Arabidopsis thaliana: one gene and its partner. The protein of the gene in region 1 purifies or fractionates together with the protein of each later gene. This does not show direct contact. Each region holds a gene or a part of one and is shown on either strand. Other genes may lie near its edges.

What was found.
Region 2: the proteins of PP2A (region 1) and ATB BETA fractionate together in Arabidopsis thaliana (co-fractionation; one large-scale study listed by BioGRID). This does not show direct contact.

The regions. Positions count from the first base shown.
Region 1 is NC_003070.9:26,347,181-26,353,985, forward strand, and holds PP2A (serine/threonine protein phosphatase 2A), read right to left. Parts: upstream 3,518-6,805; 5' UTR 3,332-3,517; coding exon 3,076-3,331; intron 2,648-3,075; coding exon 2,533-2,647; intron 2,447-2,532; coding exon 2,338-2,446; intron 2,241-2,337; coding exon 2,163-2,240; intron 2,078-2,162; coding exon 1,712-2,077; 3' UTR 1,541-1,711; downstream 1-1,540. Other genes in the region: CLE26 (CLAVATA3/ESR-RELATED 26), read right to left, coding at 6,720-6,805. UniProt on the Arabidopsis thaliana protein: Associates with the serine/threonine-protein phosphatase PP2A regulatory subunits A and B' to positively regulates beta-oxidation of fatty acids and protoauxins in peroxisomes by dephosphorylating peroxisomal beta-oxidation-related proteins.
Region 2 is NC_003070.9:6,091,571-6,101,911, forward strand, and holds ATB BETA (Protein phosphatase 2A, regulatory subunit PR55), read right to left. Parts: upstream 6,870-10,341; 5' UTR 6,496-6,869; coding exon 6,390-6,495; intron 5,560-6,389; coding exon 5,456-5,559; intron 5,374-5,455; coding exon 5,278-5,373; intron 5,191-5,277; coding exon 5,071-5,190; intron 4,820-5,070; coding exon 4,643-4,819; intron 4,354-4,642; coding exon 4,262-4,353; intron 3,993-4,261; coding exon 3,874-3,992; intron 3,726-3,873; coding exon 3,602-3,725; intron 3,416-3,601; coding exon 3,292-3,415; intron 3,186-3,291; coding exon 3,117-3,185; intron 3,036-3,116; coding exon 2,944-3,035; intron 2,846-2,943; coding exon 2,768-2,845; intron 2,666-2,767; coding exon 2,598-2,665; intron 2,516-2,597; coding exon 2,379-2,515; 3' UTR 1,638-2,378; downstream 1-1,637. Other genes in the region: PEPC1 (Pyridoxal phosphate phosphatase-related protein), read right to left, coding at 13-134, 259-405; VPS46.1 (vacuolar protein sorting 46.1), read left to right, coding at 7,640-7,964, 8,297-8,583; PGDH (D-3-phosphoglycerate dehydrogenase), read left to right, coding at 9,587-10,209; AT1G17744 (uncharacterized protein), read right to left, coding at 9,785-10,225. UniProt on the Arabidopsis thaliana protein: The B regulatory subunit may modulate substrate selectivity and catalytic activity, and may also direct the localization of the catalytic enzyme to a particular subcellular compartment.

The DNA of each region.
Region 1 (6,805 bases):
TGGGAATTGAAAAAGAGAGTTTTGAACTTCTTTATGGTTGATCCATCTCATAGTGGTGAGATGCTTGCTGAAGTTATAATGACGTGTTTGATGGAGTGGGATATTGACCGGAAGTTGTTTTCTATGGCGTCGAGTCATGCTCCTCCGTTTAGTGAGAACGTAGCTAGTAAAATCAGAGACCGGTTATCGCAGAATAAGTTCCTTTACTGTTACGGCCAATTGTTTGATGTGAGCTGTGGAGTTAATGTCATTAACGAGATGGTTCAAGATTCCCTGGAAGCTTGTTGTGACACAATAAACATTATTCGAGAGAGTATTAGATATGTTAAAAGCTCAGAATCTATTCAAGATAGATTCAACCAGTGGATAGTTGAAACGGGAGCTGTAAGTGAAAGGAACCTATGCATCGATGACCCAATGAGATGGGACTCAACATGCACCATGCTGGAGAATGCTTTAGAGCAAAAGAGCGCGTTTTCGCTCATGAATGAACATGATCCTGATTCCGTGTTATGTCCATCTGATTTGGAATGGGAGAGATTAGGAACAATTGTTGAGTTCTTGAAAGTCTTTGTTGAAGTGATAAATGCATTCACAAAGAGCAGTTGTTTACCCGCCAATATGTACTTCCCAGAGGTATGCGACATACACCTCCGGTTAATTGAGTGGAGCAAGAACCCGGATGATTTCATTAGCTCTCTAGTTGTAAACATGAGAAAGAAATTTGACGATTTCTGGGATAAAAACTACCTGGTTCTAGCCATCGCTACCATATTAGACCCGCGGTTCAAAATGAAGCTGGTTGAATACTATTACCCTCTGTTTTATGGTACTAGTGCTTCAGAGCTCATTGAAGATATTTCTGAGTGCATCAAACTGCTGTACGATGAGCATTCTGTAGGATCGCTATTAGCGTCGTCAAATCAAGCTCTTGACTGGCAGAATCATCATCATCGGTCAAACGGTGTTGCCCATGGGAAAGAGCCTGACGATAGACTCACAGAATTCGATAGGTACATTAACGAAACAACTACTACACCGGGTCAAGACTCTAAATCAGATCTAGAAAAGTATCTAGAAGAGCCACTTTTTCCCCGGAATTCAGATTTCGACATCCTGAACTGGTGGAAAGTTCACACACCTAAGTACCCAATTCTCTCCATGATGGCACGTAACGTGTTAGCAGTTCCAATGTTGAATGTATCATCAGAAGAAGACGCCTTTGAAACTTGTCAAAGGAGACGGGTTAGTGAAACATGGCGTTCGCTTAGACCGAGTACCGTGCAAGCCTTGATGTGTGCACAAGATTGGATCCAAAGCGAACTAGAAAGCTCTTGAAACTCTCGATTCATCTTATTTTGATCTGAGTGTTGTTTTTCTATAGATTAGATCTCAGCTCCAGCTTGTTTGTTTATTGTCTGTACCTCTCCACAACATTCATATTTATATCTACCTAGCTAGGGCTTTTGCTGTGTAACATGATCATCATTTCTCTGTACAAAGTTGGCTTCAATAGAATTTGGTGATAGCGGTTTCAGTTACTTGGACCAGAATCTTTGCACACAAAAAATTACGGATTTTAAAAGACAATGGAGAGTTTAACAAACAGAAATAGACGTAAGGAATATGAAATTACAAAAAGTGGTTAAGAATAGAAGCAAAAGAGACGAAGAGCTAGTGTGTGGAATTGCAGCTTTAGTTCTTTTGGTACTTACAAAAAATAATCTGGAGTCTTGCGAGTGGTTTCGGGTTCGACTTGACGTGGAGCTGGATCAAACTGAAGGAAATTCTGGTCCATGTTCTCACCGATCTCTAGAATCGCAGCCATGTTGCCACAACGGTAGCAATAGTTTGGGGCACTAAATACAGTCACAACGTTCTTTTCTTGGCACCAATTAAAACCTTCCATGACAAGTTGATGTGCTCTTGAAATCAGAGAGAGTCCATTGGTGTGGTTAAACTGAGTAGCGATATCTTGTCCGAAAGTGTAGCCTGCACCACGAGGAGATATTCCCCAACCGCATCGGTCATCTGGATCAGACCATAAGAGATCACACATTGGTCCTTCATGTGGAACCTAGAGGCAACACAAACATCTTAGTCTCGTTATGTAAACATCAAGTAAGGTGCATCCTTTTGTTGGTTTGGATTCTGGAACTAACCTCTTGAATTCGATCTAAAGATCGGATGTTGTCAAGTGTATCTAAAGAAGGTGAAAGTCCTCCATGTAAACAGAAAACCTACAGAAAAAAAGAGTTCTGTAGTCAAGTCCAAAACAGCAGAAACAGAGAAGAGATTGTCTAAGGTAGTGAAAACGCTCATTAGTTTTTTAAATACCTGACTCTCAATAAGAGCTGTAAGTGGAAGATAATCAAAAAGATCAGTGAAGTGCTTCCATACATTAGCATTTCCATATTTCCTCAAACATTCATCATAAAACCCATACCTGAAAAAGGTAAGCAATCAGCAAGAAACATTTTGAGAGAGGCTGAGAAGCTTATAATACAAAACTTAGTAGAGAAAACAACTTACACTTGAGTAATTTGACGGCTTTCATGATTCCCTCTTAGGATAGTAAGTCTATCTCTGTAACGAACTTTCAGTGCTACCAAAAGTGAGACTGTCTCCACAGAATAATACCCTCGATCTTCACAAGTTTAACAATGATCCATTAGTTAGCTAATTGAGCAACTTAAGTAGGAAACGGAGCTTAAGGCACTTAAACAGAGAAAAGAGAAACACAAATCCGAGTACTCGAACATGAAGCTTCACAAACTACATTAAAATGTTATATCTCCCAAGGTCAAGCTACTCCATTGTAGAAGCCCTGAGAATAGTTAACAGCTAAAACAAAAGTTTCGTCTTTTCAATGACAAAATCTTCCAAAACCAAAACTTTTCGATAGATAAACAATAATCTATCCATTTCTAGTAAACACTTCCAAATAAGTCTACATTAGCCCCAAAAGGTCAACAAAATCAAATCCAAATTAGGGAAAATACCCAAATCCAAATCAAGAGATGTGAGAAATGTAGAAACCCTAAAAAAAGCTATAAGGTAAAGAGAGACTCTCACCAACATAATCACCCATGAAAAGATAATTAGTATCAGGAGAAGAACCACCGATACGAAAAAGCTCGATTAGATCGTAAAATTGGCCGTGGATATCACCGCAGACGGTAACCGGACATTTAACCGGTTGAACATTATACTCTTCCACAAGAATCGTCTTTGCGTGCTCACACAACATCTTCACCTCCGTTTCAGATAACGCTTTACACTCCATAAGCTGCTCGATCTGACGATCGATATCTCCGGTCGCCGGCGGCATCTTTCTCCGATCTAAAGTAAATATAAACAATCCGGATTGTTTTTAATCTCGGATCCGGTTTGTGTTTGGATTCAATCTATCTATCATCATCATCACTCCATGGATTTAGAAGAAGAGAAATTGTGAATTTCGATTTTTGTTGGAACTTTGTATTTGTTTTCTTTTCATCGGAGTTGATAATTAATTATTCTCTCCGGCAGCCGCACCGAGTCAAAGTCCATTGTGGGGGTCTGACACGTGGCTTTCATTTTTTCAGGCCCATTCATAGGGTCGTTAATCGTTTAGCCCATTTGGCCCAACGAAATTGAAAGAACTATAACATAGCCCACCATAATCATAAAACTTTAACCATCGTTTAAACTTTAAAGCTTCGTTGAAACTTGAAACTCATAAACTTTTAACCTTAAATGTAACTCCTAATTCCAAATTAGTAAACCCTAATCATCATTTTAACGTAGTCGAAGCTCAGACCACTGAACCTTATCGTACATGCGAAAGTGTTCGCTCCAAAAATATGTCCCAAGAGAAAAATGTAAGATAAGAGTATATGACATTTGGTATGCGGATGAAAAGTTTCATACAAATTAAACTATTTTCATAATTTTCCTTTAATTTATTCGTTCACCTTTATTGTTGTCTTTGTAATTAAGTAACTATGAATAATTGTTAATTAAAATTTCTAGAGCGATAGGAGCAGTCGTATATGTTTAGTTCAAATGTTCCAGCTTTAAGACTGGTCTTCAGTTACTTTTGATTATGAAGACTGGAAGCCCAAAAAAAAAAAAAAAAAAAAGACAAAAAGAAGTTGATTGATTATTATGTCTCTGTTTAGTCTGTCTAATGCGTTTGGTAATAATTCAAATTAAAGATATTCAAACTCTTGAAATTGTGAACTTTAAAAGTGAACATGTAGGGATCATATATTATATATATGTTTAATTTTGCTTAATTAAGACAGAAAAAATAATGGTATTATATATTTGCTTTACCATGCACATATGTTCGAGAGTTACTTGTAAACCATTTTATATGTGGAACTCATGTTTTAATGGAAGAAGACATTTCATGTATCAAGTTTATCGTGGATGGTTGTAGAAGATTTTATAGAGCCGAACCGTAAACTCATGATTTTGCTATATATTCTTGCTTTTCTTTATTTGCAAATAATTAATCTACATTATTTGGTTAGTAATTCTTTTTTCAAGAACCTTCTCATCTCATAACTAGTCATACACTACGATAAATTGTAATACCGGTTCTCATTTTTTGTTCTTTTCATTTTAATACATATTAGCATATGTTGCGTAGTGTGTATGTTGGTGGTGTAGTAAATTAGTAAGCTAAGTCTAATAGTTTTTTGTATTTCAAGATTAGTAAAATTAATTTAGAAATTAGAAATATATGGAAAATAAGTGAAAAAAGAGCGAGAAAATGAGTAGTGGTAGAGTTAACCCCACAAAAGAACAAAAGAATAAAAGATGGGAAAAAAGCATAACACAAAGAAGCATTGTGGTCTCCTTTATTTGTAAGAACCATTACACACATTCTCCTTTTCAAATTTCGGCATTTAGAGCTCAAATTATATCATATATATATGCCATTGCATTTATAAATTATTAATATCTTATGTATCCAATCTTTGTCGACATCTCTTTTATTTGCCCCTTTGGAAGAATATATGCTTTCAGAATACATCAATAAATAATGGATTCGACATTTTTTTTAATGATTGGATAAGACTCTTTCAAAGTACAATTGTTCTTTACAAAAAAAAAATCCATCTTAATTCTTTTTTTTTCATTCAAAACATGTGATAAGAATCATATATTGTCTATATATAGAACCATTTTGTGCGAGTGTTTTGGTAATCTACAATTTCTAATCGTGAATATATACACAAGGGTCAATCAGGTACGTAATTATGATGTTTTCATTTGTTTTAAAAAAACACACTTGTGCGCGCTCTCTCTAAAATACCATGTTATTTTGTCTGCCAAATCTGAATTGAATTAGCATGTTATTTAGAACAACATAGGGTACTGCTATTTGATAAGAAAGCATGTTAGTAATAAAATAGTACCCATTTTGTGTTTTTGCACATAAAAGGAGTACACAATTATTTACCTAACTTAATAAATGTTAATGATCATTTAGTGCAAGTACCCAATAAACAATGTGAGTAAGGAAATAAAGCATCTAAACGTTATTTGATGATGGATCAAATTAGAAATAATCCCAATATAAGTCGTGCAATGCGTGAGAAAACAGGATTGCATTGCATGTACGTATACTTCTTTTCTTTCTTGAAATCCTTTTAATAATCAGTGTCTTCATTTTTTTAAAACCTCCCCTAACTAGCTCAATATTTCTTCACTATAGGAACAAAACAAACATTTAAAAAAAAAAAAAACAGAATTGTAGGGTCACAAATATTTTGCGCATATTTAAAAGATTCGATCCCAAATGAAAGGAAAAGAGAATCTAGCAGCAATACAAGACCTATATTAATTTGCCAACAATTATACTTCTCTCTCTCTTTCTGCTTCTTACCCAAGCTTTAACCGTACTTATGCTCTTCCTGGTGGTCGTCTTGAATTCCCTGCTCTCCTGTATTAAGACAGAACATAGAGTTACTTAATCCAAGTCATGTTTTCTTGTTTTTCTTTACTTTCGTATAAACGATAACAAATCATACAACATTAATTCATTAATTGATATTTTAGTGATTTAGTCAATAGACTACTTTAATACGATCTACATGGAATTAACTGTGATCATAAGTGGGTTACCTATATAACTAAGAAAAAAAAGGGAGTGTTCAAAGGGCTAAAGCTTCCATAAAGGAAAAAAGAAAGTTTTTAAAAGAAGCCATCTTATAGTGAATAATTAAAAATAGATTGTTAAACGTAAAGACTGAATAAAGCTAGCAGACAGCCTTTTGCGAGCTTCTGTGATATGTCTCACCGAATCTGAGTTAGTTAAAAGAAACAAAGTGTTTGTTTTTTTAGTAAAATTGTGCTAGAAGTATATTTATGGTGACCCGAAACAAAACTTATTATAACATGCATAAACATATAGACAATCAACGAGTTAGCTTGCTTGATTTCATCTAATATAGTCATTTCTAGATGTCATTCATTAATCTCAATATCGAATTTATATCTAGACCATACTAAGAGCATGTCCTTGGTAAAAACCACATGTTAAACAACACCATGGTCGAAATGCAAGTGACCAAGTGGTCCACGCGTATAATTTGAACATAACGGAATCTAATATGGGGTTGTAGAGAATTTTAGGCTTATAGCCCTTGAACTTAGACCTAACTAATATGAATGTGGCACCACACACGGGTTTATGTCATATATTATTATATATTAATGAAATATCATACAGAAACATCCAAGACACATATATGCAGGTAGGGGTAAGGATTAGTTAAAAGTGATAAAATAAAACGAGAAAGTAGTAAGA
Region 2 (10,341 bases), about 20 Mb from region 1:
ATGGATTTTTACCCTAAAGCATGAGCAGATTTGATGGCTGGGATGACACGTGGATGAATTGGGATTCTCCTAAGGACTTGTTTGATTTCTTCAATGGTTTTACCATGATCATGAAGCTCCTTCATCATCCGATTCTGTTTTGAAATAAAACCAAATAAGGATTTAGTGTTATGACTGATGAACATATATAGACCAACGTAACAAAGCCCTAGAGAAACCGAAACAGAGAAGAGTTAGAGATGGATGAACAAAACAAACCATGAGAGAGTTCCAAGGCATTGTTGGGAGAAGCTGGTTGAACAAATCAGTGAAACCAAGTTCATCCACGACCCAATTATCGCTGTCTACATCGATGATTGTCTTGTCAAAATCGAAGACGATCACGATGTTGTTATTCTTAGCCATTCTATCAGATACAATGTTTTATAGGTACTGTTTTATCGATTTCTGTATGATTATGGAATTTGGAGAAGAAGAATGTGATATATATACGAGTGAGAGAAGGTGAAAAGGCTAGAGACGAATAGGGATCTTTCGAGGAAGATGCCATTGGAATATTACTTACCGTCAAACGCAAGGTAAGATAGATAATTAAGAATCCTAATCTGATATGATTCGTATCTTTTGAACCGTTAGATCTGATGACGTTTATGTGTCAAACATTGACTAGGTATACTGATCCAACGGTGTTGATGACTCTTTGGTTTATTTTGTGGGTATTATTTAGTTTGGCTTGTTAAAAGTTTTATTTAGTGGGATTTAGGCAGTTGAGATTTGAGAAGACACCGGAATGGAATAAGATAAAAAAAAAGAATATTCCACCTATTTATGCGTTTTCGTCATTATTTTCATTTTTATTAAAGGAAAATAAAATCCGTTACCCAAAAAGGTTTATTTTTCTTTTAATACGCAACCCAAAAAAAGTAAAAAATGCAAAATGAATATATTGGTGTTTATCGTATGAATAAGTTTTGATTTATCATGGGATGAAAAATAAATAAATGTGCATGGGATAGTTGCTTTATGTCACACATTTGATCGATAAAGTTAATTGTAAAAACCACAACATTCATACTCGATTGGATTTAAACTTAAAAACATGAAATTTATCGAAATATATGGGAATTGCATCAGAAGGCACTAGGAAGGAATAAGGTTGCAACTTGGAAGGAATATTGAGTGACAAATCACAATTGTAAGCAGAAAGAATATTCTAGGGGTTAAGGATCACATCATCTTTTCATTTGGTAGCCACATCTTTCAATATTCATCTGTATTTGATTTCTTCAATAACAATTAAAAGTATTCTAACCAAACAAGTCTTAGCATGACAACAAAACAAATGTGTGTGTGTGTGTGTAATCCTCTATCTATAAAATAATATACTTCTATCAGACATTATCAGAAGAGACGCATCAAAACAAGCTTCTTTTATTTCTCTTCCTCGTGTCTTTAGATTGTGATATAGAACAAGGAACATAATATTTTATATCTAGTTGTAAATCTTGTGGCACCACGAAAAAACTACATTTCACTGCATCCACTACCTCAATTGGCAAACATTTCATTTTTCTTAGCAGAAATCAAATTAAGTTACGTAATATTAATGTTGCCCTCGACACTCTTCTTGAGGTAAGGATACATATATTCAATTCATCGCATCCTTTAAAGTATTACAATCAGTAGTCAAAGATAATTTTATTTGCTTACAATAGAATCTACGAGGAATGGAGGAGAAAGCTACTTTTTATTGTGGGTAAAAGTAAAAAACACAAAAGAGGTGTCTGAAAATACAATTGAAAAATAGACAAATAGCAAAAAAACAGAATGGATGTGGTGTTCAAGAAGAAGAAGAAGATATGACAAAAGAATCAATAAACAAATTTTGAAGCACATCCCTCCCAATCGTCTCATACTAAAAAATCCCACACACCATAATTTGTTTCTTAATTGAAAAAAAAAAGGTAATAGAATCGATACTAAAAAAATAAAATAAAATTTATCCTTAGTGCAGCAACCCAAAAAAAAGACAACCTAAGTAGGAGGGGTGGTTCGGATATTTAAGACATTACCCTTCTTCAGGTAAACAAAAGGCCTCTTCTTGTTTTCTTTCCCAACCCAACACTTTTTACCTTACTAACTCCTGAAAGATTACTGTTGCTGCTTCTTCCGTTGACTCGTCGCGGTGACTGGTCAGGCTTTGGTCTTGGTCACAGCATTACTCTGTTACTACTACACCTTTTCTGGTTACATCATGACTTTGGTTGTTAAAAGAAAGAGAGAAAGAGAGTGAGAGAGAGACCCGGGAAAAGAAGAAAGGGAAAGTTAAATTGGAGCAAGCTGATTCCATGTTTATGTCTTCTCTCTCTCTTCCCAACTCATGCATAGTACATGTACAAGCTGTTTGCTGCTGCACAAGCAATTGAGTTCTCTGTTGGGTGCCAAGCCATATGCAGCAACTTTGTTGTGAAATCGTAGGCGTTCCCATTTGCCTCTGTTCCGGGACTCTCTGATCCTGCGTCCAAAACAAAAGTTTTTTACTCCAGAAGAGAGTAGTAAAAGCTTGAATAAGTTTTACAGGTACTATGACCACTAACCTCGTCTAACCACGCGTGTCATACTGCCTATAGATCTGGATGGTCTTGCAGGTGTCTGGATTTGCCTCCTAATATATACCATTGATGCGAAAGTTTTGCAACAATTGATCAATACAAACTTCAATGACTTAATAAGGTTAACTATCAATGTTCTCTGTTTTCTGATTTACCTCATCGGGTTTTTGCTAGCTTCCAAAGTCGCAGCTTCAGTACTTCCTTGAGACGCTCCAAATACGCGGAATAGATTGCTGGTTCACCGGAGATTAAGTATAATAAATTGGTCATTAGTTTATTCCTTATACAAGACAGAAAAGTACAGCAATGACCAGAAGACAAGCAAGTCAACCTGTAAGAACCTGTTGCTACCCTCAATCCATCGCCACTCAGACAACACTCAAATTTATCAAAGATGGAGTCATTTTCATATAGATCGCATAGCTGCAACCGGGTAAAACATAACGTGGTTAGCTTTCAACACAGAATCAACAAATAAAAGATGCCACAGAAAGAAGCTCTCACCCTGGGTCTCAGATGTTCATGAACCTGGTAAGATGCGACCGGACCAGAATCCATGTTTATGTCCCACAGCTGAAACGTCAAAAAGGGTAAAAGATATCAGAAAGAACTAAAGAATAGACCTCTATTGGCCCACAATCAGAAAAATATACACAAAGGGAACCGAATGATTTCCAACCTTGAGCGTCATGTAATCGCGACTAAGTATGTATCTCCCATCCTTTGAGAATTTAATATCTGAAATTGAGGCAATTATCTCTGTGAAAAATGATCTTGAACCAGGTGCTTCCGGTTCTTCAAATCTGTGATATGAAGCAACAATGGTCAGTGGTCAGAAACTTTAGCCTATTAATCTTCATTTCCAAGTCATTTCTGACAAGAAAAGAGAAAAATTGGAAATGAACCCACGTATTCATATCCCCTTCTTAAGTATATATTGAAACATGCAACTACCATTTCCGATAAAGGATGATGAGAACAGAACTTACAATTTCGTATGAGAATCACACAGAGCTGATTGACGCATATCAATCAAACGAATGGAGCCTTTTGAACTACTATATGCGAGCATATTACAATGGATAGGATGAAACTCAGCTGATGTAATAACCTCTGCACAGACCATGTAGCATTTAGAAGCATGCTCGACAAGCAGTAAACGTGAAAAAAATAGATAATAAAAGTAAGGAGGTTGTTGACATATGAATCAATGGTAAGACCATACAAAGTAACATCTAACAAAATAGGAGAAGTAGCATACCAGTTAAGTCCTCCATGTTTGTGGGCTTAACATCAACAATATTGAAACTCTGGTTGCTAATTTCCAAATTCCAGAGATTTACTCGCAGATCATCAGCCGAAATAAAGGTTTCTCCGTCACTGTAACAATTAAGGGAACGATTCATTACCACAAGGAACAAAACAATGCAATACAAGTTGTGAAATTTAGGATCAACAAGATTTTCGACAAAGAGAATAATAGCACGACCAGACATGGAAAGACATGCAAAATAAAATTCTAAGGATTTTTTAGATATTAGCATTGTTTCCTGAGATGGAAAAATTAAGGAGAAAGACAGCAAAAACGTGTTAAAGAGATATCAAGAGTAAAACATATAACCTGAGGGAAAACTTAGGAAAACGATTACCTGCTATTGGAGATTGAATTAATATGGTAATCATGAGCATGGGCATACACTCTTCGGCATCTAGCCACAAGGTTAGTCTCCTGGCTGGTAACCTATATATGCAGAAACACCCATAAGTTCAAGTAGAACACAAATTGACTAGTGCATTAGACTAATTTGGTACTGAGCTTTAGTTACGACAAAAGGAAACAAGGCCAATAGTAAATTCCCTACATTTCATAACTCAAGTAGCTGGATCATCAACATGAAGAAAATATCCACAACTTCCAGTAAAAAACAGGCTTAATATCTATACGCATTTACTTTTCAGAATCCTGAAATTAAAACTCACTTCATTTGACACCCAAACAAAAAGTAAAAAAAAGTTGCGTCGAGTACAACTACCACAGGCAAACGCAGAGATGGAATGCCTCCTGGCGGGAAAGAAAAGTCCTTGCTCAGGTAGTCATGCCCTTTATCAGCAGGTAATCCATTAGTAACTAATTGAGGAGGGATATTTGAACTTTCTGACGGATCAATATTCATTTCACTAATTTTCTTGATCTTCTTCTCTTGTACCTGTTTGATTCCAAATAAGAGGAGGAGTCAAATTATAAGAGTAAAGAAACAAACTATTTCTCTTATTTTGAATTGAGTCTTGGAAGCAAAAGAAACCAGTTTCTAGACAGTTTTCACACGTGACACCTAATATTTCTACACTATAAAGCATATGAAACAAGATTATGGAACCGAGTTACACAGAAAGGAATTGCTATAAGTGGCCTATATTTTGCAGACATGTGATATAAAAATCCATCCAGATGTCACACCTTCCAATATTTGATGGTTTTATCGTTTGTAGAAAGCAGAAACAATGCACCATTAGCTGGCTGACACCATCTGATTTTGTTGATTTTCTCCTCTATCTCCAAACTCTTGAGATAGTCAAACTGAAACAGATTGAAAAGCAAGCTTATTGAGTAGCTCAAGGAACACAATTACTCGTAAGTGAAATCTGGTGATAAGTTTTAATGTACCTCTGGTTCATGACTCTGAAATTCTGTTTTATATCGAAACTCAGGATGCCTAACTGGGTAATCCGTCTGCTCAAGATCCTTCCTGGACCCTCCATGCTGAAAGTAACATTTTGCAAGAGTGCGTTACAGCACATAACATTTTTTCGAAACAAATCTTGCAGAAGAAAAAGGAACTCACATCTTTAGTATCTGTCCTTTCAAAAAGAACTACTCGGCCCCCACGGTCACCAGTTGCGAGATGGTCTCCACTTTTATCAAATTCGATGGCTGAAATGATGTCAACTGCGGAAGAAATGTGTGCAAACAGAATCATTACATCAGAAGTCACCACTAAATTGTAGGAGCTAAACACATAATAACCTTGAGGTGCAGCTAGTATATTATTCTCCATAACATAGAGTATGTAAACCGGTAAAGAAGATTACATCCAATAACATGAGAGCAGATTAAATTTATCTAATACGGAAAGTGCCTCTGAAGGCAACCTAGTTACATCAATACTCCGGGAAGTCTTATCAGCCAGAAGAGAGCAGCTATAGACCAACTCAATATTACAAATTCAATTCATGAACCCAAAATGCATGACCAATGATAACCCTTCACACTTGTCCCTCGACAACCCAATCCCTCATCGCTTCATATGCCTTTCTTGCTGTTAAACAGAGTCGAGACACCATTGTACCAGTGGAAAAAAGTATACATGGCTTATGGCATTGAACAGACAAAACCTTGAAGCTAGATTACCCTCTTAATCTCAACTTAAAACTATCATCAGCGTATCAAATGATTCAAATTTACAGCAGTACAGCTGAAACTTGTACAAAAATGAGAGTTACAACCTCGCAACAATCAGCTAAATAGAGATGCTCTAATATCACATAATACACAACAATCCAAACTTGTCATAGAACTTAGAAACTCTACTAACAGTGCAATAAAAGCCACAGAGATTCATCAATGACCCACTAAGTAGTAGAGGAATAACTCACTAATCAGATCCAAACAACAAATCAAACCCTTAGTCCTCAAATACACTCCGGATCTAAAAGAAAAAAGAAGAGCTAAACTCCGAATATATCTCACAATTTATAACACACGTAGGCAATAATTACCTTCCTGAACTTCTTCTCCGGCGGTTCGCTCACCGAAGACCTGAGAGAATCTCCACTCTAAAGACGGAGGAGGACCACTAGTAGCGGCATCGTCACCACCGTTCATTTTTTTTTTTTGGCTTTTGGGTTAGATAATCCAACAAAAATTAGAAATCCGAGCTTGAGATCTGAGCTTCCAAATCTTTTAATCACCGAATCGAATCGAAGATCGCGTCATCACCATAACCAAATCCTTTGATTCACATTCCATTCCATAGTTTTATTCATGGATTTTTTCGCGATTGAAGCAACTTGATCGATGATTAATATTTCGTCCCTCTCTCTCTCTCTCTCTCTCTCTCTCTCTCTGTAGAAAATGGAATTTTTGATATATCTCTCTGTAGAAAATGGAGGAACGAGAGAAGAAAAACGCCTTGGCCTTTTTCTCTCTCTAAAAGGACAAAAGTGGAATTATAACTTTTTTCTTTTTTTTTTCCTTCGAGACCAAAACGAAGGAACAAATCCGTATAAGTTAATATGTCTAATACTATAATGTTTTTGTCCTGATTCCAAAGTATCCTTAGCGTTACAGTCGGTGACATTATTTATTTGACCACTACATATCGGTGGACAGTGACATATGTTTTCGCCTATCATTGGTCAGTTGTGGAGGTGCTGCGCTTTCCACTGTTGTGTTGTGTGATGGGGGAAAATGTATAATTATCATTAGTAAGTACTAAATAATTATTTTTGCCAAATTATCCTAAATAGAATTCCATTGCACATTTGTTTTTTCTAATCTGATATTATCATATCTTACTTGAGAAAAATTACAAGTTTCTTTCAGGGGTCAAAATTAACTCATGAGAATACCCAAGCGGTAGAAAAAAAGAAAAACGATTGAAACCAGTACAAATCAAATGAATTTAAAAAGTATTACTATAGTTTATACCAAATGTATTTGGATGGTGAATAATCAAAACTGAAACGAATAAGTCAAAGGAGTGTTTTTTTTTTATAACTACTAACCACTCAGACTCAGTGACGGATTAAAAGATTAAAACTTAAACCGGATATAACCGAATAATAGAACCAGTCAGTGCAATTCGATTTAGGACATAATGTTAGGAAGCCTCCTCGTTTAAAAGTTAAAACCTCTCTTTCTGCGGAAGAAACACGCTTGAGATATCTTTCCCCAAATTCGAAAGAACCCTAATTTTTTCCGATTCCGATTGATCAAACAAGCGAATCCCGATTAACTGATCGAGGAGATGGGTAATACAGATAAGCTGATGAACCAGATCTTTGAATTGAAATTTACGTCAAAGTCTCTGCAGAGGCAAGCTAGGAAGTGCGAAAAAGAGGAGAGATCGGAGAAGCTCAAGGTAAAGAAAGCCATTGAGAAAGGTAACATGGATGGTGCTCGGATCTATGCCGAGAACGCCATTCGCAAACGCAGCGAGCAGATGAACTACCTTCGTCTCTCTTCTCGATTGGACGCTGTTGTTGCTCGACTCGATACCCAGGCTAAGATGGCTACCATCACCAAATCGATGACCAACATTGTCAAATCCCTCGAATCGTCTCTTACCACTGGTATTTCACATTCTCACTTTTCAGCAATCTAATCAATTTGGTTTTGTTGGTGCTCATAGCATTATAGTATAGATTGAAAAATTCTGCTCCTTGTTGTTGTTTTTGCTGATTGAAGGATATGGAATCATGCATTAGGGTTTGGTTTGATGAAATATTAGAATAGCTCTCTCTCACCGTCATGGATGTTCTGTGATCTGTGATGAATTTTTGTTGCATTTCTCTCCTTTTGGTAAGTGTAGTATAGAGGGAGAAGAAGATAGGGCTTATAATACTCTTATACGTTGTGCTGTAGCAACTCGTGTTATCATTTTCTGGTTTGTTCTTTGCAACAGGCAACTTACAGAAGATGTCTGAGACGATGGATTCGTTTGAGAAACAGTTTGTGAACATGGAAGTCCAAGCTGAGTTCATGGATAATGCAATGGCTGGCTCTACTTCATTGTCGACTCCAGAAGGAGAAGTCAACAGCTTGATGCAGCAAGTAGCAGATGATTACGGTCTTGAAGTTTCTGTTGGACTACCTCAGCCTGCTGGTCATGCCATTCCTACCAAGACTGAAGAGAAAGTTGAGGAGGATGATTTAACCAGGAGACTTGCCGAGCTTAAAGCCAGAGGTTAATTAGCTAACCTAACAAAAAAAAAAACTGTATTTGGATTCTTCTTTTATTGAGATGTTGATGCTATTAATCCCTGAACATGATGGGAATGTTTGTGTAAATTGCTCACCCTGGTACATGCTTTTGTTTATATAAAACCTAGAGTGTGTTTTTACAATGAGAAATTTCATCATCTGCTTAATGGTTTGGATTAGTTGTACAAATGTTAATTCTCCAGATGTGTCTCTGGTAGTAGTTCCACCAAATTTTCCAGGTCCAGAAAGGAATACACTGGAGTAAAAGGTATATTCTTTCCAAGGAGAAGAATGTTTATAGTACTCTTGGTGGATTGTTGCAGTTGTCAACTTGGGAGAGAGGATGATATGGTGAAGTCTCCTCCCTCTCTCCCATGTCTTGTTCATTGCAAAGTCTTGTTCTTTCATGTTTCTTTTCATATACACTTGTTAATGAATAAAGTTGAAAAAATTCGTGAGGAAAAGTCCGAATCTATCTTCTCTGCAAAAATAAAATTAAGTAAAAGAAACATAAAGTTATGGTTTAAAGATGCTTTCGGAAACTCCATCATTTTAGTGGGAGAATCACATAAAAGATTGGTCGTCAATTATTTTTCTTTTATTAATAAGGATGCACATGATGATGAATATTAACCGTAATATACTAATATAGATGACAATGTATTTCAGTGCTAAATTATAGTAACAATTAATTGAATGCTTAAATGAATCTTTTATTATATACTACTTTATATGTGTTTTTTTTGTTTTAATTGAGACAATGATGATGCACCTAGACAAGAACGTCCTACTCTCTGTGCATGTGCTTCTCATTTTATTTACTCTTTTACCAAACAAACTGTTCAACTTAATACATAATGTTGGTAGCCCACAATGTGAAAGATTAAATTAAAACTCATCCATTACCTCCTGTAAGCTCTATATTAACCACTTTAGCTCTTCTGCACACACTCACAACAACCAATCATATTTATTATTAAAAAAAAGAGTCATGGCATTTTCATCTTCGTGTTCGTCCGTCAAAGCCGTCAACTCACGGTGGACGTCTCCGTCTCCGTCACCGTCTTCTAGATTCGCCGTCCTCCCTGCTTTCCTTCACCGCCGTTACGCAACAAGCGTCAAACTAACGGCCATAAGCGCCGCCTTAAAAACCGTCGAGCAAACGACGTTAACAGAGGATAACAGATTCTCAACCGTCGGATCTGACTCTGATGAATACAATCCAACTCTTCCAAAGCCGAGGATCCTCGTCACCGAGAAACTGGGAGAAGCCGGCGTGAATCTCCTCAGGGAATTCGGCGACGTTGACTGCTCTTACGATCTTTCGCCGGAAGATCTGAAGAAGAAAGTGGCGGAGAGTGACGCTCTGATCGTGAGAAGCGGAACTAAAGTGACGAGGGAAGTGTTTGAGGCGGCGAAGGGGAGGTTGAAAGTGGTCGGAAGAGCCGGAGTTGGGATTGACAATGTTGATCTGCAGGCGGCGACGGAGCACGGGTGTTTGGTGGTTAATGCTCCAACGGCTAATACGGTGGCTGCTGCCGAACATGGAATTGCTTTGCTTGCTTCTATGGCACGTAACGTTGCTCAGGCCGACGCTTCTATTAAAGCCGGTACGTTCCCGGTTAGCCATTTTTTTTTTGTTTTATTGAAATGAGACATTTAACCAATTAACCTATCTAGATTAACTTAAAGCTTATACTATGTTTCACACCATGGAAAAGAAAAAACTAATCTAACATGTTTTAG